Bombyx mori: one gene and its partners. The protein of the gene in region 1 interacts with the protein of each later gene in a pairwise test. Links are inferred from orthologs where the notes say so. Each region holds a gene or a part of one and is shown in the gene's direction. Other genes may lie near its edges. The genes, in order: S-phase kinase-associated protein, F-box/SPRY domain-containing protein 1, S-phase kinase-associated protein 2 and beta-TrCP.

Evidence for each region.
Region 2: the proteins of S-phase kinase-associated protein (region 1) and F-box/SPRY domain-containing protein 1 interact in a two-hybrid assay, tested with the Drosophila melanogaster proteins (2 studies listed by BioGRID). The link is inferred for Bombyx mori from reciprocal best matches to the Drosophila melanogaster genes SkpA and Fsn.
Region 3: the proteins of S-phase kinase-associated protein (region 1) and S-phase kinase-associated protein 2 interact in a two-hybrid assay, tested with the Drosophila melanogaster proteins (2 studies listed by BioGRID). The link is inferred for Bombyx mori from reciprocal best matches to the Drosophila melanogaster genes SkpA and Skp2.
Region 4: the proteins of S-phase kinase-associated protein (region 1) and beta-TrCP interact in a two-hybrid assay, tested with the Drosophila melanogaster proteins (3 studies listed by BioGRID). The link is inferred for Bombyx mori from reciprocal best matches to the Drosophila melanogaster genes SkpA and slmb.

What each region holds. Positions count from the first base shown.
Region 1 is NC_085119.1:7,149,966-7,154,364, forward strand, and holds S-phase kinase-associated protein, read left to right. Parts: upstream 1-1,147; 5' UTR 1,148-1,294; intron 1,295-1,385; coding exon 1,386-1,874; 3' UTR 1,875-2,554; downstream 2,555-4,399.
Region 2 is NC_085110.1:9,214,613-9,220,088, reverse strand, and holds F-box/SPRY domain-containing protein 1, read left to right. Parts: upstream 1-1,619; 5' UTR 1,620-2,602; coding exon 2,603-2,931; intron 2,932-3,022; coding exon 3,023-3,296; intron 3,297-4,239; coding exon 4,240-4,330; intron 4,331-4,861; coding exon 4,862-4,956; 3' UTR 4,957-5,189; downstream 5,190-5,476. UniProt on the Drosophila melanogaster protein: Required in the presynaptic motoneuron to down-regulate the levels of wnd and restrain synaptic terminal growth at the neuromuscular junction (NMJ). Negatively regulates the localization of vas to the posterior pole of the oocyte.
Region 3 is NC_085117.1:568,172-573,633, reverse strand, and holds the start of S-phase kinase-associated protein 2, read left to right. Parts: upstream 1-2,242; 5' UTR 2,243-2,353; coding exon 2,354-2,421; intron 2,422-2,581; coding exon 2,582-2,654; intron 2,655-3,989; coding exon 3,990-4,070; intron 4,071-4,524; coding exon 4,525-4,651; intron 4,652-5,462. Other genes in the region: BCL2/adenovirus E1B 19 kDa protein-interacting protein 3, read right to left, coding at 489-528.
Region 4 is NC_085130.1:17,505,777-17,510,621, reverse strand, and holds part of beta-TrCP, read left to right. Parts: intron 1-923; coding exon 924-1,110; intron 1,111-1,986; coding exon 1,987-2,122; intron 2,123-2,484; coding exon 2,485-2,613; intron 2,614-3,728; coding exon 3,729-3,920; intron 3,921-4,442; coding exon 4,443-4,586; intron 4,587-4,845.

The sequences.
Region 1 (4,399 bases):
GTCTAAAAAATAAAAATAAAAATTTAGGGGTGGACTACCCCTAACATTTAGGGGGATGAAAAATATATGTTGGCCGATTCTCATAGATACCGGATAAGCACAAAAAATTTCATCAAAATCGGTCAAGCCGTTTCGGAGGAGTATGGCAACGAAAACTGTGACACGAGAATTTTATATATTAGATTTCTTCTTTACTCCATTCACAAGTTTCTTTTTTTTTTTAGTTGTGTGGGAAACTAAGTGTGTATCTATGGTGGGAAATGAATGTTGGTGTTGGAGGGACTTTTTGGCGGGAACGCGAGGAGTGAAGTGGTGTGATTTGTTTTATTTTGTCTATTTAGTGTTTCTTCAGGTTTAAATATGTAATAACGGTGGCTTATTAACTGTTTAATATCTGTGAAAGTGCACAAAAGTGGGAAAATGAAACAAAGCTGCTGGACGTAAGTTCTCGGGTTCCTCTAAAAAGTCTACTGAAAAAATCTCAGTAAATGACCACCATTTTACTGAGATCATATTTCATCCCATATCATCAAATTTCATTTAATTTCATCTAAGTTGATTAATTTCTCAAATTAATCATCTTCATTTCATTTCATTTATCTCCATATTATCATTTTTCATAAAAATAAGAATATAAATTAAAATAAGACATGACTTAAAGGTCTTAGTTATGAGGTCATAAAATCCCTTAAAAAACAATTGGTGTTGGAGGTACTTTTGGCGGGAGCGCGAGGAGTGAAGTTGTGTGATTTGTTTTATTTTGTCTATTTAGTGTTTCTTCAGGTTTAAATGTGTAATAACGGTGGTTTATTAAATGTTTAATATCTGTGAAAGTGCACAAAAGTGGGAAAATGAAACAAAGCTGCTGGACGTAACTTCTCGAGTTCCTCCAAAAAGTCCACTGAAAAAATCTTAGTAAATAACCACCATTTTACTGAGATTATATTTCATACCATATCAACTCATTTCATTTAATTTCATCCCAGTTGATTAATGTCTCAAATTAATCATCTTCATTTCATTTCACTCCATAATAAAAAATTTATAAAAATCTGAATATAAATTAAAAAAAGACATGACCTAAAGGTCTTAGTTACCAGGTCATAAAATCCCTTAGAAAAATTTAAACGAAAGCAGAAAAAAAAACAAAATTGATTAATGATTTTATTCATTCGTTCACTCATTGATTCACTGTTTGGGTTTAAGGAAAAATCTCCAGAACATAAGGGCATTTTCGTTTGAAGATAAATAAATTTCACTTAATTGTGAACATTCAAATACTTGAAAAAACAAGGTAAATACTTCGCTATTTATAAATTGGAAAATGGCGTCTTATTCTCAGCCGTCGTTTTATGATTTACGTTCCCACCGCTCTTTTGTTCTAGATGCCAAATATTAAGTTGCAATCATCAGACAACGAGGTCTTCGTTGTTGATGTTGAAATCGCCAAATGCTCCGTAACTATCAAAACTATGCTAGAAGACTTAGGCATGGAAGAGGATGAAGAGGAAGTTGTACCTTTACCTAATGTCAATTCTGCAATACTCAAAAAAGTTATTCAGTGGGCTACTTATCATAAAGACGATCCTCCGCTACCAGAAGATGACGAAAACAAGGAAAAGAGGACTGATGACATATCATCATGGGATGCTGATTTTTTGAAAGTTGACCAAGGCACACTCTTTGAATTAATATTAGCTGCAAATTATTTGGACATCAAGGGTTTATTAGATGTCACATGTAAAACTGTAGCAAACATGATCAAAGGAAAGACTCCTGAAGAAATCCGTAAAACGTTCAACATTAAGAATGATTTCACTGCTGCAGAAGAAGATCAGGTTCGTAAAGAGAATGAATGGTGTGAAGAAAAGTAAACCATAATAAATGCTATTTGCAAGCATCTTTATGTATTATCACTATGTATGCAACATTAAACTATTTTTCCCATGGCAATAAAGAATAATTAATTTAAACCAAGTAAATTTGTTTGTGTTGTAAATTATATAAAAATAGGTACATCATGTCATTGTGATTTTCAATAAAATTTAAATTTTCATATTATCATTTAAATTACTTTTCATTTAACTTTAATTGTATTATATTTATTGGAAAATTTACTTTATGAAATAGAAATAATTAGCATAAATCACTGACTTAAATTTTTGTCATCTGCTTATTTTTTAACTAATTGTGTGGGTAGTCTTGATTGTGTCCAGAAATTGCCAGTATCCATTGCAATGTTAAACCACAAAAATAAGTTTGTCACCATCAATGTCAATACAAAAAGTAAATAAATATACAGTCACAACCGTTTACTGCGACATCATTTTGAGCAACATGCTGGTTATAATAACCTAGAACAAAGGTCCCGGCTGAATGCTATATGACCGCCTTATTAAAAACATTGCTTTATACGACATTGCTAATACCGACATACCTAATAAAATGACCACATTTAACTAATATTTCGGAGAATTAGATCTGTTAGAACGACCGGCTAAGCTGTATTGTAAACAATTTGAATAGGTATCCACATTTGTCTTCAATGGCTATTAAAATCAGGAAAGAAAACAATAGGATTTTGTTTAGTGTAGGGTCTTTTCTAATTCTTAGAAACAAAAATGTGTATGCGGTAGAGTCAAAGCCCACTTCTTCATATCTTTTCAGTTAGTTTGTTACTTATCTATACACAAGACACACCAAAACTTTGTGGAGTTATTCGTGAAACTTTCAAAATGTTGCAAAGAAAAAAAACAAATTAATAACAAAGAAAAATTGCGTTTTGTGTAAATATATTTTTCCAATAATTCACTATCGATTTGTTTGTACTTTGTTTGTACTTGCACGATACACATTAAACATCACTGGTTGTTACGACTGAATATGAGCAGTCCCTTCGATGTTGTTATAATAGATTTTCACTGTATATGTATGTATTTGATAACCACATTCCCTTAGTCAGTTCCTGATGCTAAGATAGAATTAAACCATCAGCATAACAAATGAAAATAATATATATGAAACAATTTTTTCCTCTTAGATATTTGTCATTAAAATTACTTTTAAAGCTTAGTATATGAACCCATAGTCAGAAATGTCCGTCTGCCTCTTTCAAAAGAAACTGGAAGTGAGTTCCAGCAATTTAATTTATATTGTGCTACATTGTATGCTATGTAAAACAAAATTTTAAAGGTGATTATTTTTTGTTGGATTGTAATTTTTATAATTAAAAAACTACTTTTACAGTTTATCTTGAGTATATTATTATCAATTTATAATTTCAGTTTCAAAATCTAACAGTTTTTGTGGTCATGGATAAGAGGTGCAAGTAAACTATAAAATTTGTAATGAAAAAAATCTTATTGGCAATTATTTATTGTTTACAATCATTATTATTTTAATAATAAAATATCATTACAAATGAAAAAAAATAATTAATAATAATTATCAATTATTTATTCTCTCCTTTTCATAGAACATAATGTTTAGGTCTCATAGTTTGTTTGACTTGGGGTTTCATGTAATAGTCAGATGATTACTTTTTTTCTGATCCAACCTTTTTTCCTTTTATTTACAATAGCTTCATGAGCTATTTATGGAATTAAGGATTGTTTAGGGTGTATTGAGCCATGTTAAATTTCACTATTAGCACTGTCCAGAGTATGTTAAAATAAATCAGACTTATGTTGGGTTTGACATCTGCAATATTTTCCTTAATTCGTAACTAAATGTGCGTGTTACTCCAATGCTATCCAATGTATGAGGTTGCTATCTTCTCTCTACCTCCCTTGATGTACAGCAGGAACAATATAGCAGTAAATAGAGCGACCGGTCGACGGTGTATCGCGTCCCGACCCGGCAGGCTGGTTTTGGTCCAGCGGGGTATTCCGGGACACCAGCGGCACCGTCTGGGCGGCCCGACGGGCTGCCGTACCGAGACGGCCGACGTTTCAGAGCCTTCGATTCGCCTCGAAGGCTCCGTCGGCTGGGCGTCCTTGGGGTTAGCCGCGCCGTCTGGTTGTAGTGTTGACCGCGGTAACGCCCCTACCTCATCCGGGTTCTGACCTCGGAGGGGATCGGACGTCGGGTGTAAGAGTGCAGGGGAGTCGTTTAGTGGGTGGGCCCTAAAATCCTTGGGCCCGCGGTCTGTTCACAACACCATGCAGATCGTAGTCTCACATACCCCGCGCGCCCCTTTTGCGCGGGGACCTCGTAGGAGGTTCGGCCCTCTACCCGAAAAAAAAAAAAAAGACACATTCCTTCTTCTTTTTGTTAGCATTTTCCTGGTCTAGTGCCAAGGAATATAGCTCATTCCACTGGTTTTTTTTTTTTACATAATGTTCTCATTGTGTTACATTTACCTTGAGCTCTCTATTACAAATACAAATATCAAAAATAT
Region 2 (5,476 bases), on another chromosome or scaffold:
ACAAAGAGTATGTAACATGGGATAATAGGTACACTGATGCACAATCACAGGCTAATAATGTAAGTTAGGGGTGAGGTGTATTTATCGAAACAGTCAAACGGAAAAGGCTCATCTATGTAAAAACTTGAAACTGTTGTCTAATGCCGGCCACTGACATGCGCGCAAATATTCGTACATTGTACGAATGTTTGTGCGCATGTGAAGGGCCGTCAAACATTCATTCGCAAACCTAGCGGCTGTGCAAATGGGTTCGCATAATCAATTTGCGAACCCGTTTGCGCTTCCTCCTACACTTGTTTACGAATGTCTCACGAATTTCTCCTCCTTTTTAATTCGTCAATAGAACATTGAAGAGAAAGAGTTTTTAATTCTTTCCCAGACATCATTAACAGCCATGCTGTTTTTATGGGATTTCTTTTGATGAAGATACGCTACACAGTAGACGTCACGAACTATGAAAATGGCGTATAGTATACGTCCGTTACCTTCGCAATCGTCGGCGCAACTGGGCAAGCGAATGTGTGGGAGACTACGCGAAGGTTCGAGGCTCGCGCGCTTTGATGTCTCTTAAAAAACCGATACAGCTTGGAAAACCACGAATGCAGCGAAAACTTTGCATAATCATTCGCAAATGTCGTCCTACACTTGTGGGTTTGCGTATTCGTGCGCATGTGAGTGACCGGTGTTAGTCTACTAAAATTTATAGTTGATTGTTTTTTGATACAATATTCCACTGGGTGGCAAAAGACACCTAGCCCATTGAATAAGTATTTAAAATAAAATGAATGAAACCGTATCTGTTAGACAAAATGTAAAATGGAGCATAATCACATAAATTCACTCATTTAAAGCTTTTCTTCGTTAAGAACGGTTAGCTGGTAGAAAACTCAATTGTTGAGTTAAGCTCGCCATTTTTTATCATCATATGAAATTAACGTAACGTTATCATAACATCATATGAAATTAACGAAAAAGTAACCTTTCAATATCCTTGTCTTTTGTCGTATCACTCTTGTCAGAGCGGTCGTGGTCGTCATTCAGCATCATTACTGTGGGTAGATGTTATGCGTTTCGTGAGCAATCGCCACTCCTCCCGGTTTATGGTGAGCCTGGTACGCACACGCAAAGAGCCGCCAACTGCCCATGCCGATTTGAAAACAGTGCAATGGGGGGAATTTATTCAAATTTCAATGACGAATTTAGAAAAACCTGAAGTAGGTCATACGACTTGAAATATTTTCCTAAACTTGTGTACATTTGTATGTCGTCGTCGTGGCCTAAAGGATAAGATGTCCGGTGCATTCGTGTGTAGCGATGCATTGGTGATCCAATCCCACACACAGGTGGGGACATTCCAAAACAATTTCCAATGAAATATGTATTTAAAAAAAAAACACGATTGACTTCCATGGTGAAAAAATAACATCGCGTAATAAAAATCAAACTTGAAAAAATATAATTTGCGTAGTTACTGGTGGTAGGTCGTCTTGTGAGTGCGCATGGGTCAGTACCACCACCCACACCAATTGAGCCGTGAGATCTTTGACCCATCTATCAATTAAAAAAAAAGTTTCAAAAATCTTCTCCACTAAGCGGTTCCACTGAAGTAGGAAACCTAAGCGGTTCATAACATTTTTTTAAAGGCAGACAATGACGACTTGGTGTAAGATGTGTTAAGTTACCACTATAAAATCTGAAGAAATCCTAAATTGGCAGAATATAACATTTAATTCGGGTTTAATGGGTCAGTGGGGAAATTAATGTATTTAAAAAATCATAACGTGACAAACAATTAACTACAGAAACTATGAATATGTTTTTTTTTTATTGCCCTTGTAGGCAGACGAGCATACGGCCCACCTGATGGTGAGTGGTTACTTCTTCGACTTCAGCAATGCCAGGGGCAGAGCCAAGCCGCTGCCTACCGCAAACTATATGAATAACTAACTAATATTAAAGAGCATGTGTGCAGTAAAACGAAGTAAAAGTAAAACTTTCAGAATTATTCCGTGTTATTCTCTCGCAGGCTAATAATCCTTTAGACATATCTTTTTGCCTTTTTCAGTGTCGCTTTTTCGTTACACCGATTTTCATGTCACAGTAGTGCTCAAGTAGTTTTTACTCCATTATTCATCTTCCCAAATGAAATAAAATCTTCTTATTTTCTGGTAAGTATTAATATTCATTTCAGGCAGTCCTGAGCCTGATAAGTACGTAGGAGAACATTCATATATTAACAATAAAAACAACAAATTTTCAACTAATCGTGTTTTACTATGTTATCATTAAAGTGTTAATCTTTAGATATTGTCTGCTGATTCGATAGCGTTGTTTAGAAATTGTGAAGCTCGTTTTAAATATTATTTTTCCATACTTGATGACTGGCTGTTTGAGACCTGTCCCTTTTGTAACAAAAGTCCAAAGTGGACAAAACAAAATAAAACAACTTAACCTGAAACTCAGAATTTCCAATAAATTTCATCAAAAGCAATAATATTAAAATTCAATCACTAACCCGCTGTAACCATAGATCTTTCTAAAAAGGTATTAAATAACTACCAAAATTGTGCATTTAAAATTAAATGCTTATTTCTACAATAAGATGCGTCAAATTCATAGATACAAAAAATATGCTTTTGCTGAAATCATACCTGACCATATTTTGGAACTTATTTTTTTGTATCTAAGATTGAGAGATATTCGAAACTGTGCGTTGGTATGTAAGACTTGGTATAGAATGCTCAGTGATGAGAATAATGAAGTGTGGAGATATCATTGTTATAGAAGATTAACAGAAGAAATGATGAAATCTGATTTACTTTCGTGCCTCAGAACTTATAGAGAAAAACTTAGAGCATATTGCCATGCTTGGAATCCGTATGATTGTTCGAGAAACATTTATATCAAACCAAATGGATTTACTTTACACAGGTAATGAATTTTAAATGCTCTTTAGAGTATATGTATGAAAATTTGATAATGGTGTCATTTCAAGAAACTAAGTCCAATACATTAATTTCAGAAATCCTGTAGCACAGAGTACAGATGCTTGTAGAGGAAAGGTTGGATTTTATCGTGGTCGTCATGCTTGGGAAATTATATGGGAAGGTCCCCTTGGCACAGTAGCTGTCATAGGGGTGTCAACTAGAGATGCACCATTGCAATGTCAAGGATATGTAGGATTGCTTGGTTCAGATGAACTGAGTTGGGGCTGGAATCTTGTTGATAATCATTTATTACACAATGGTGATACTCAAGGACACTATCCATTGTTAAATAACTGCCCCAAATATCAAGTAATGCTTTTATTCTATTTATAACATACAAAAAATAGCTCCTTAACATTAAAGCATACAAATTATTGATTAATTTAAATTTAATTACATTTTTCAAATTAAATACACTATGTAATTCAACAGAAATAAAAACCAGTTAATGCATAGGGTCTATTAGGGTCTCATTTGAAGGTTTTGTCCTCCCTTTGTATTATAGCAAATAACCTCACTGTTTATTAAAAAATCGTTCCAATGATTTTATCTTGCTAGTAAATGTTGCTAAAAATTATGATCTATTATTTTATAAATAATTGAAGTTTTACACATAATTTTTTTTCTATGTTTTGAACTAAACAATATCTAATAGAAGTAGATATGACTATAATAGGCAATAACAGCCACTTTTGTGTTCCTGACCCTCAAACTAGTGACCTTGTAGATTAGAATATTTTATAGAATATAATTTGTCCAGCAAACAATTATTTTGACTATTTATGAACAGGAGCAATATAATATAATATTTAGGAGCAGGAGCTAGGGGTCTTGGGCATGACGTGGGAGGAGCTAGAACAGACTGCCCAAGACTGATGTAAATGGAAAAAATTGATTCGAGCCCTACACCCCAGCAGAGGGTAATAGGAAGGAATGATGATGATGATTTATGAACACACTAAAGTGAAAAGGCATATCTCTGTTTTATTAGAATAGATATGGAAGATAACCTCTGTAGCTTTAAGTAGTTACAGTGTAAAAATCTATCTGATTATGACATCACTGCTTCTCAGCAGAAATATCCACAAAAGTAGTATCATTCTGACTGTTAATGTGTAAACCAAGAATAGATGTATGTAAAACGATATTAATGAATGTTTTGGATTTAATGGGGTTTATTTATGTAATGTATTATATAGCTGACTACTGTTGTGTTTCTATGATTTGGTTAAATCTAATAAATATCTTCCAGGTTGGTGAAAGAATAAGAGTGATACTTGATTGTGATCGTCACACCCTCTCATTTGAAAGGAATTATGAATTTTTAGGTGTTGCATTCCGTGGTAATGAAATAAAAATTTAATAATACATATGTATAATAAAGTCAAGAGAGAGTGATCAAAATCATGTTATAGTTATGTCATTAGACATTAATTTTAGTTTGATACCAATATATTATTATTACAATCATAACAGATTGTTGTATTTTAAAAAGTGGTAGGTACTTACTGGTGGTAGGACCTCTTGTGAGTCAGCGCGGGTAGGTACCACTGTCCTGCCTATTTCTGCCGTGAAGCAGTAATGTGTTTCAGTTTGAAGGACGGGGCAGTAACTATACTGAGATCTTAGAACTAATATCTCAAGGTGGGTGGCGCATTTATGTTGTAGATGTCTATGGGCTCCGGTAACCACTTAACACCAGGTGGGCTGTGAGCTCGTCCCTTCCATCTTAAGCAATAAAAAACAAGAAGGAAATAAAAATCAATTTGACTACAAATTATTATTTTAAAATATGATCAAAAACTATTTTTAGTACATAGATTATGTATGTACATGAACAGCTGTTTATTATATTATAAAATTTCACTTTTCAGGTCTACCCAATAAAAGACTTTATCCAACTATATCAGCAGTGTATGGAAATACAGAAGTTTCTATGGTGTATGTAGGTCCTCCGCTAGATGGCTGATAGAAAATCTACTTAATTGTAACTGGTATCTAGTCAAATAATTGTGATATAATGACATTCTGGAAAACATCTTGGTTTGTATTCTTAATAGTATTTGATATGAAATTATTCTGTTTTTGTTTTATGCTACTTAAAATGTGCAATTTTCTATTTTACATTTGTCAATATTATTTATTTCTTACAGATTATATTATGTTATGTAGGTATTCATTATATAAATCATAGAGATATCATCTTGTTTTTTCTTTTTTATTCTTGTATATGTTATCCTTAAATATTGTAGTAATAAATAAACGATGGAATCTGTTATTATTATTAACCAAAATGCAGTATAGTTTGAACTAATTAGTACCACTTGATTAAGAATTTTATCACTAATTTGTCGTACATTTAACGACAGTCAGTTTTTGTTCTTTTGTTTTGTTATTGTTAAGCAAGGAGATGGGACTTTCCATAAACAGGTTTATAACCAAAGTCATGGTGGTGAATAGGTCTGGAAAATTGGAACTCACTGGCGCAT
Region 3 (5,462 bases), on another chromosome or scaffold:
CTTGAGAAAATTACATTACTAATAATTACCAATTTGTTATGTTTTAGAAAAGGATGATTTTAATATATCAATCACACTTTTGGTTTTTTTTTCTGAGGAAACTTTCTCATTCCGAAAGTGCAAGTACCAGGCAGCCATATAAGTGAAGAGGTACCTACGCATTTTTAGTTACGGTAAAAGCTGACTAAATAGGAATATGATTAAGCCATATCTTTTTCATTAGGATTATGGTATTTTCATATAGCCGGTTAACATCAGACGAATCACGTACGCAGATTGTGACGCACTATCGCGTGTTTTCGATTTTGCTGACCTCGACAGTTCAACAGGCTATATGACGCCATTTCGCGAAATCAAAACAACAGCTGTTAGAAAAAAAAACAAAAGCAAACTCCCAAAAATTGCGTTTTATGTAATAAATGAGACGTAAAAGAAACCTGTTTGTAAAGTTGGACGCCACATACTCAATGTTTATTTACAACACTCACCGCTCAAGTCTTCGATTGTGTTCAGTTTTCTCGACGCCATCGCGCGGAAATAAGTCGTGGTACTAGAAAATTACTTATAAACGTATTTTTAATAATATACGCTGTGTTCAACCGGGCTTCTTCGCTTTTAAAATGCGAAAACAAAGAAAGAACGGACTGAATCAACACCGAATGCAACCTTCTTTGTTTGTGTTTTGTGTTGTTTTGATTGGAACTGACAGTTGTGGATAGTGTGGCATAATCAGTTCAGATACGATATGCGATATGATTAAATTTGTTAATCGATTAAAGTTCGATTTCAGACGCCTTAACAGATTTTATTTCAAAATTGTGCAATTTAAAAAAATGTTGTTTTTCGAATGATTTCATTTTCATTTGTATATAATATGTTGAACCTAATAAATTTAATGTCTTCGATTTTTTCAGTATTATCGATTATTATTTTTCCTATCTATTCCAGTAACCTGGAGGGGTCATACCATATTCATCTGGCGAGTTAGGTGAGCTCGCGGTGCTTTAACCTGGCGAATTTGCTAACACTAGCCCTAGCAAGAGCAGTGCTTCACAAAATCTACCACTGGATCGGAAACGCGATCCACTGAGAACTGAGAGAATAATTGGCGGTAGGACCTCTTGTGAGTCCGTGTGAGTAGGTACCGCCACCCTGCCTATTTCTGCCTTAAAGCAGTACTGCGTTTTGGTTTAAAGGGTGGGGCAGCTGCTGTAACTGTAACATACTTGAGACTTTAGAACTTATATCTCAAGGTGGGTGGCGCATTTACGTTGTAGATGTCTATGGGCTCCAGTAACCACTTAACACCAGGTGGGCTGTGAGCTCGTCCCCCCATCTAAGCTATCTCAAGGTGGGTGGCGCATTTACGTTGTAGATGTCTATGGGCTCCAGTAACCACTTAACACCAGGTGGGCTGTGAGCTCGTCCCCCATCTAAGCAATAAAAAAAAAAGTTGGCGTGAAACTCAGTGCGCTGGAATTTTGATCTTAAAGTTGTAAAAACAGGAGGTAAATCATGATAAGATAAATTTTTTTTTCATTTATCCTTACACTTCTATATTTACAAAATGAAATAAATAACTTTTAATCCAGAAGTGAAACCTACCCAGAAATAGTTTCCAAGTTAATCTTATTGTTTTATTGTTTTGTTTTACTATCTACCGTGTTTAGTCTAATAAAAACGGGGACAATGTAATAAATAAAAATACCGAAGAATTCCTTATTTAATGTGCTCTGAACTTTAAGCGCTTACAGCTGTCGATCAAGGCTGGTTTGAATGGTTACTTCGAGATAGAACAGCAGAGAGCGAGAGCGCGTATCCGTTTCTCGTAATGAATTAAGTCATAGTGTAACTATGTGTCATTGGTGACCTTAATCTTTAAGGATAATTAGATTTTGTCATCAACAAAGTATAAATATGTTAAGTCAATCGAGAAATTTTATGCCTTGATTCAAGAAAAAAAATCGCGTGGTAGCTGCGATGGTGTGAAAAAATATCAAATAATAGTAATAATTAAAGACAAGTTAAATATATAAATAAATAGAGAGAAATTGTATAATATAAATAATTCATAATAATAATAAATAATTTAAAAAAATCTGTTTTTCGGCAAGCTTAATAATCAATCTGAGTGGCAATCATGAGCAAAGAAGTCCTCGATTTAGTAATAGCAAGTGTGACATTAATGCCCAATGTCAATGTCAGTTTGTACGTTTAAAAAATTTGTCATATTTGTCTATAGCTGAATTCCTTTTTTTTTAGTTTAATTTTGACTTCAAAGTGCTATCTGTTGCGTGTGCCAAATTTTTTATCTAGCTATATTTGGAAATTTATAATACAAAATTAAGTGAAAATGAACATTAGTGGTCTGGAAGATGAAGTTAATTCACCCGTTAAACCAGACGATGCAGAAAGTCCTAGGTGAGACTTGAATTTTTAGCAAAAATCGTCATGGAATTCAATCTGACATGACAGCTGATTTTCAGCGGTAAAGTTGAATGGCGCGAAATAATCACGCCCTAATTATTATTTTTACACTACTATATTTACGGTTATTCAAAGAGTTGGAATATTATTTCAGCAAGAAAAAACTTAGAATAAGTAATTCGACGCGGAAAAGTTGGAGTTTGATGGACAAACGAACGAATTACGAGGTATGTAGTAATTTTTTCCCGCCCTCTTCCGTTCTAGTTAAAAACTTTTTATTTGATATCAATCGTGTTTTAACTATCATTCGAGTTTCTCACAGCTCCTAAATCCAATATTAATATACATATCGAGTTTGGGACGCGTAATTTTATAGTTTTGCCACAAAACACGCAAATGAACTGAGATCGAAATATGTATACATGCTCCCATTTTCATGTATAGATTTTATGGGTTCTCCGGCGTGTAGTGAGCAATGGTTGATACTGCCACCCTGCGAGGTCCCATATAAGCAGTCGGGTGACCATTATTCACAAACAAATAAGACTGTATGAATATATGCTCATACAGCAACATTACAAACAGATTCTGGACCATTTCTCAGTTATGCAAATTTTGTTTAAGTCATCACTATTATAAGTAATGCTTTCAAATAATATTATGTATTTTTATATGTTATGCACATATTTACTAGTGATAGGAGGACATATTGTGAGCCTGTACTGGTAGGTAACATGCCCCTGCCTATTTCTGATGTGAAGCAGCAATGCACTTGGTTTTTAAGGGTGGGGCAGCCATAGAACTGAAACTTAGAGCTTACTCTCATGGTAGGTGGTGGCATTGACATTGTTGATTTATAGACATCAATAACCCATAGGGTTCTGGGAAGCACTTAACACAAGGTAGGCCCTGATTTGATTCACCTATCAAAGCAAGAAAAGCTTTAAAAAAGACAAGGAACGGGACAAGCTATGTTTCTAGTAATTTTTTCTCAATTACTAAATTTCTATTTGTATTTAGAGGTACTAGATTAATACATGAGTGGTCCAAACACACATTCAAGCATAGACATTGAAAAATATAAGGTTAAATGTAGTTTAAAGAAACATTTGAGAATTGTCTTTTATAATCCTGTACCATATTAAATCATAAAAAGCCTATAGGCTTTCATTGAAGAAGATCTGATTTACGGGCATCCTATGTTATTCTACACAACAAAAGGAATATGTTTGATTAAAATTCGATCAACATAGATTAAGATATCAATTTTGATTTGCATCAGACTAGCTGAGCATAGATCATCAAAGTGCTCTATGGGATACTAGGTTTCTTCAAAGGGTTTTGGAGATATGATATAACTTTGTTTTTCTGTACTGAAATACAAAGGTTTGATTAATCTTAGAAATACATATTTTTCAATTCTTATAATGTTTGCATAGTAATAATTACATATTAGAACTAATTGTTTAATACTAATGTTTAATCCATAGATAGAATAATGTCTCATGTTAAAGGGAACTGTATGATTTTGGGAATAAATAAAGTTTAAACTTTATTTTTAGGTATTACAAGAAATGGGGGTTAGTTTGCTTGAGCCTGATGATAATGAACAATCCTGTGAACTGAGTTCGAGCAGTGGAGGGGTGAGTTTTATGTTTTTGTATCGCTGTCTGTGTTTGGCGACACAACCCTTGTGGTAAGTGCTTTGTTTGCTAATGGAAGTCCTGCACAGCCAAGTTACAATGAGGAGCAGGTCTAATTTTAAAACTCCCGGTAACAGTAGGCTCGTTTAACCATTACCATTTTACTGGTGGTAGGACCTCTTGTGAGTCCGCGCGGGTGGGTACCACCGCCCTGCCTATTTCTGCCGTGAAGCAGTAATGCGTTTCGGTTTGAAGGGTGGGGCAGCTGTTGTAACTATACTTGAGACCTTAGAACTTGTATCTCAAGGTGGGTGGCACATTTACGTTGTAGATGTCTATGGGCTCCAGTAACCACTTAACACCAGGTGGGCTGTGAGCTCGTCCACCCATCTAAGCAATAAAAAAAGATAAAAAATTGAGATAATGGAAATTCAACAGTTTATTTTGATTCCAGCACCACCACAAAGGCACAAAACGAAAACGGGACATAGAAAACGTGAATCCAAATACGAATTCATGTTCTCCGATCACAAAACGAAGCCCGGGACCTTCCAAGGCGAAGAGCCCTCGCGTTCACACCGGTAAGTCTTCCATAAAGTCTCGCTGCTCATCAAAATAACACTTTGATAAGTTTAATATCGGTTTGTGCAGAAACTATGTCCTCAAATATTTGCCAGGGGTGGTTGCTGGTTTGTTAAATATGAATGCTTCAAAACAACAATCATTCATGCTTACTTTGGTAAATTAATATTATTTTAGGCTATTTGGGTTTCATCCATAAGTTAATTGTCTATCTTTGTGTTTTTATTTTTATTTTTTTTTATTGCTTAAATGGGTGGACTAGCTCACAGCCCACCTGGTATTAAGTGGTTAATGGAGCCCATAGACATCTACGACGTAAATGCGCCACCCACCTTGAGATATCAATTCTATGGTCTCAGTATAGTTACAACGGCTGTCCCGCCCTTCAAACCGGAACGCATTACTGCTTCACGGCAGAAATAGGCAGGGTGGTGATACCTATCCGCGTGGACTCACAAGAGGCCCTATCACTAGTAATTACGCAAATTGTAATTTTGCTGGTTTGATTTTTATTACACGATGTTATTCCTTCACCGTGGAAGTCAATCGTGAACATTTGTCCAGTACGTATTTCATTACAACAATTGGTACCCTCCTGCGGGATTCGAACACCGATGCATCGTTCAACACGAATGCACCGGACGTCTTATCCGTTAGGCCACGACGACTTCAACGACGACTATGGTCCAGGGTACTGTTAGTAGTGAGAAGGCCGAACTTTTTAAAAAAAAAGGATTTATTCGAAACTACACAATATTTTTAATGAATAATTAATTATAATAAAAGAATTTAGAAATAGTGAGGAAAATT
Region 4 (4,845 bases), on another chromosome or scaffold:
AGTGCGTGTTTTTTAACGTTCTCGATAGCGTAAAAGTAAAACAGCGCCCCTAGCGGCAAACGTAGGCAAACGTTGCAACTCCATACAAATTCGAGTTAACTTTTACGCTATCGAGAACGTTAAAAAACTAGAACTAAGCACACTGGACACTCATAGGGAAGTAGTGCCAGTTAGTTGTTCAAGCCATTCAATGAGTAATTTAGATGAGTGTGCTCAGTGCGTGTTTTTTAACGTTCTCGATAGCGTAAAAGTTAACTCAAATTTGTATGCAGTTGGAACAGCGCCTCTAACGGCAAACGTAGGCAAATGTTTCAACTCCATACAAATTAGAATTAGCTTTTACGCTTTTATAGTCTATACATCCCTAGATTAATCGAGAACATTCTAGGCAAGTCGAGTGGCTTCGATGCGTGTTTCCGCTATATGACAATAGATGGCGTTGTAAATTTCAAGCGTTCTCGATGTTACTAGTTCTTTTGATATTCATTTCTGCTATTCGGTGATAGATGACGTTACTCTTACCGGCGTAACAATAGTTTAACCTCTTCTTTTTAATTTCACCGGCTGTATACCGTATCCATTATGGCCAAGTCGTATCTTTGTAAATAGCAAATATACGACTGATCTTATACCTTTAAACGAGCAATTCTTGTATATATATAACCAGAATCTCGGAAACGGCTCCAATGATTTTCATAAAATTTAGTATACAGGGGATTTCGGGGGCGATAAATCGATTACGATTTATTTTCAGAAAATGTTGTTTTATTCGTGTTTTAAATAATCAACTTTATCGATAATTAACTTTATGAATCTTCCCGACATCTATTGGTGAATTTATTGCTTTAAAGACACAACAAGATGGCGTTATAAAAAAAAAAGCCGGTCATCATCTAGTATTGTTAATACACGCTCGTTTTCAGAAAAAGGCCTGGACCACGTCGCAGAGAACATACTGTCGTACCTGGACGCGAGCTCTCTATGTGCGGCCGAGTTGGTTTGCCGCGAGTGGTTGAGGGTGATATCGGAAGGGATGCTGTGGAAGAAGCTCATCGAGAGGAAGGTCCGTACGGATTCGCTGTGGCGCGGCCTCGCCGAGCGGAGGGGATGGTGAGTTGGCTCCTTGTGTTCATGTTGTCCTGGTACATTGACATTTTTTTTTATATAGCCGGATGGTGAGTTGGCTCCTTGTGTTCATGTTGTCCTGGTACATTGACATTTTTTTTATATAGCCGGATGGTGAGTTGGCTCCTTGTGTTCATGTTGTCCTGGTACATTGACATTTTTTTTATATAGCCGGATGGTGAGTTGGCTCCTTGTGTTCATGTTGTCCTGGTACATTGACATTTTTTTTTATATAGCCGGATGGTGATTTGGCTCCTTGTGTTCATGTTGTTCTGGTACATTGTCATTTTTTTTATATAGCCGGATGGTGAGTTAGCTCCTTGTTTCATGTTGTCCTGGTATATTGTCATCATTGTTTTTTATAGCCTTTATCCATGATGACCTTTACTGGAGCTCATAGACATCTACTACGTAAATGCGCCACCCACCTTGAGATATAAGTTCTAAGGTCTCAGTATAGTTACAACGGCTGCCCGACCCTTCAAACCGAAACGCGTTACTGCTTCACGGCAGAAACAGGCAAGGCGGTGGTACCTACCCGTGCGGACTCACAAGAGGTCCTATCACCAGTAATTACGCAAATTATAATTTTGCGGGTTTGATTTTTATTACACGATGCTATTCCTTCACCGTGGAAGTCAATCGTGAACATTTGTGAAGTACGTATTTCATTAGAAAAATTGGTACCCGCCTGCGGGATTCGAACACCGGTGCATCGCTTCAACACGAATGCACCGGACGTCTTATCCTTTAGGCCACGACTTACACTTTTTGGTTTCTTCCATCCGATTGATATTATGTGAGAGTCCTCGGGAATGAGTCGTGTGAGCAACTCATGACGTATCTGCTTCCCCTCCCCAGGATACAGTACCTGTTCAAACCGAAGCCTGGCTGCCAACATCCGTCACACTCATTCTACAGACAACTATATCCCAAGATAATAAAGGACATACAATCTATAGAGGACAATTGGAGAATGGGAAAACATAATTTACAGGTAAAAATTATTTTGCTTTATTTATTTATTTCTTACACTTCATGTAAAATTTACATTGGCGGACTTAATGCCTAAGGCATTCTCTACCAGTCAACCAAAGGTAGTGCAGAGTAAATAGTGGTAGGTGCAATGAAATCTATATATTAATACGTGAAGCAGAAACTTTGTATCCTTTTTACGAAAATTGCGCGGACGGAGGAATATGAAATTTTCCACACTTATAGAGAATATAGAGAAGCAGTGCACAATTCTCATATTTTTTAAGATAATGCATAAAAGATACATTAAATCAACAAAGAAAACATTACACACATTCCGAATCACCATTTCATTTATTCACATTTTTTTCATTTCTGTTACAGAGGATAAACTGCAGATCGGAGAATTCCAAAGGCGTATATTGCTTACAGTACGACGACAATAAGATAGTATCGGGCCTTAGAGATAACACAATAAAAATATGGGACAGAAAGACACTGCAGTGCGTCAGAGTGAGTATGGAAATAAATAACAAACCAATTGAGGACCTCAACTGGATTTATACTCAGTGGAGGACGTGGTTACTGAAGTCTATATACGTTTTTTTTAAGGGATTTTATGACCTGGTAACTAAGACCTTTAGGTCAAGTCTTATTTTAATTTTAATGATAACTTTTTTATATGAAAAATGATAATATGGATTGAAATGAAATGAAGAAGATTAATTTGTGATCAACTGGGATGAAATTCAATAAAATGATATGGGATGATTTATAGTCTTAGTAAAATGGTGGTCATTTACTGAAATTTTTTTAGTGGACTTTTTGGGAGGATCCCGAGAAGTTGCGTCCAGCAACTTTGTTTTATTTTCCCACATTTGTGCACTTTCACAGATATACTAAACAGTTAATAAACCACCATTATTACACATTTAAACCTGAAGAAACACTAAATAAACAAAATAAAACAAATCACACAACTTCATTCCTCGCGTTCCCGCCAAAAAGTCGTCTATATACAACATAAACGTTGTCAGCTCAACTCGACGCATCAAGATTTCTAAGCCTCAGTTTTTATAGTACAACACCAGCTCGATACTCATCAAACCGAAACGCATTACTGCTTCACGGCAGAAATAGTCAAGGTGGTGGCACCTACCCGTGCGGACTCACAAAAGGTCCTATCACCAGTAATTATGCGAATTATAATTTTTCATTATACGATGTTATTCCTTCATCGTGGAAGTCAATCGTGAACATTTGTCAAGTACGTATTTCATTAGAAAAATTGGTACCCGCCTGCGGGATTCGAACACCGGTGCATCGCTACATACGAATGCACCGGACGTCTTATCCTTTAGGACACTACTGGTGGTAGGGCTAGCTGTGAGTCCGTATTTCTGCCGTGAAGCAGTAATGTGTTTCGCTTTGATAAGTGAGGTAGCCGTTGTACTGTATAAACGGAGACTTTAGAACTCATATCTTTAGGTGGGTGGCGGCTTTTAAGTTGTAGATGTCTATAGGCTCCGGTAACCACTTACTTACCGGCTGTGAGCTCGTCTACTCATCTATCCCTTTCATCTCTAAAAATAATTTCTTACTACATCTTATGTCTTCGATCCTTCCAGGAGCTGCAAGGTCACACGGGGTCGGTTCTGTGCCTGCAGTACGACGAGCGCGCCATCATATCCGGCTCGTCGGACTCCACCGTGCGCGTGTGGGACGTGTCCACGGGCGCCATGCTCAACACGCTCATCCACCACTGCGAGGCGGTGCTGCACCTGCGCTTCTGCAACGGGATGATGGTCACTTGCAGCAAGGTGAGCCTGACGCTTGGTCCCCTTAGTGCCGAAGCCTAACGGGGTCTGACTTGAAGCCATTTTAAGCTATTGCATAGCTTTTATCGCGGGCCTTGAGCGCGGCGACCGAATCATGAAATTCCGTAACGAAAAAAACCTAACACCCCCCAGTCCGCCTACCATGTAGCTCGCGTTCAACACATTCACACGTGGCGCTTGTGTCGTGTTTGTGAATAAGCGCGCGGCGTGACATCGCACTGCATGCGCATCATGAAAAGTCTGCCCATCTCTCCCTCGCGCGGTCTTGCTTATGAGTGTGAAGGGGACAGTTAAGGTTTTGCTTTTGTTAATGTTTATAAATATAGCGTAGTCTTGTTTTATTATTGTTTTAATATTAAATTATCATTGTCTAATTATAATTGCATAAGTTGATAAAAAATGCTACGCAATAGATTTACCGCGGCAGTCCCCGAGTGCCACACTGTTTTTTTTTTTTTAATTAATAAATTGTTATTATAAAGGGTGTGTTTTTGCGGCTTTCAGGATCGTTCGATAGCCGTGTGGGATATGACGTCGACGACGGAGATAATGCTGAGGCGAGTGCTGGTGGGACACAGGGCCGCTGTCAATGTCGTTGACTTTGACGAGAAATATATTGTCAGTGCGTCCGGTGATAGAACTATAAAAGTACGTATTGTTACAACATCACTCACACGTCATTGCGGATCCTCCCGATCCATTAACGGTAACTTTTAGGTACCAAAAGCATCTCAAGGGTTTGGAGAGTAAATTAACCATCAGACACAGCCCACTGAGTTTCTCGCCGAATTTTCTCAGTGGGTCGCATTTCCGTCCATGGGCGCTGTCTACTAGTTAACAAATGATGTATGTTTGTTTATGTGTACGTGTATGTATGTACGTATGTAATGTTTTTGTTTTCGTTCGT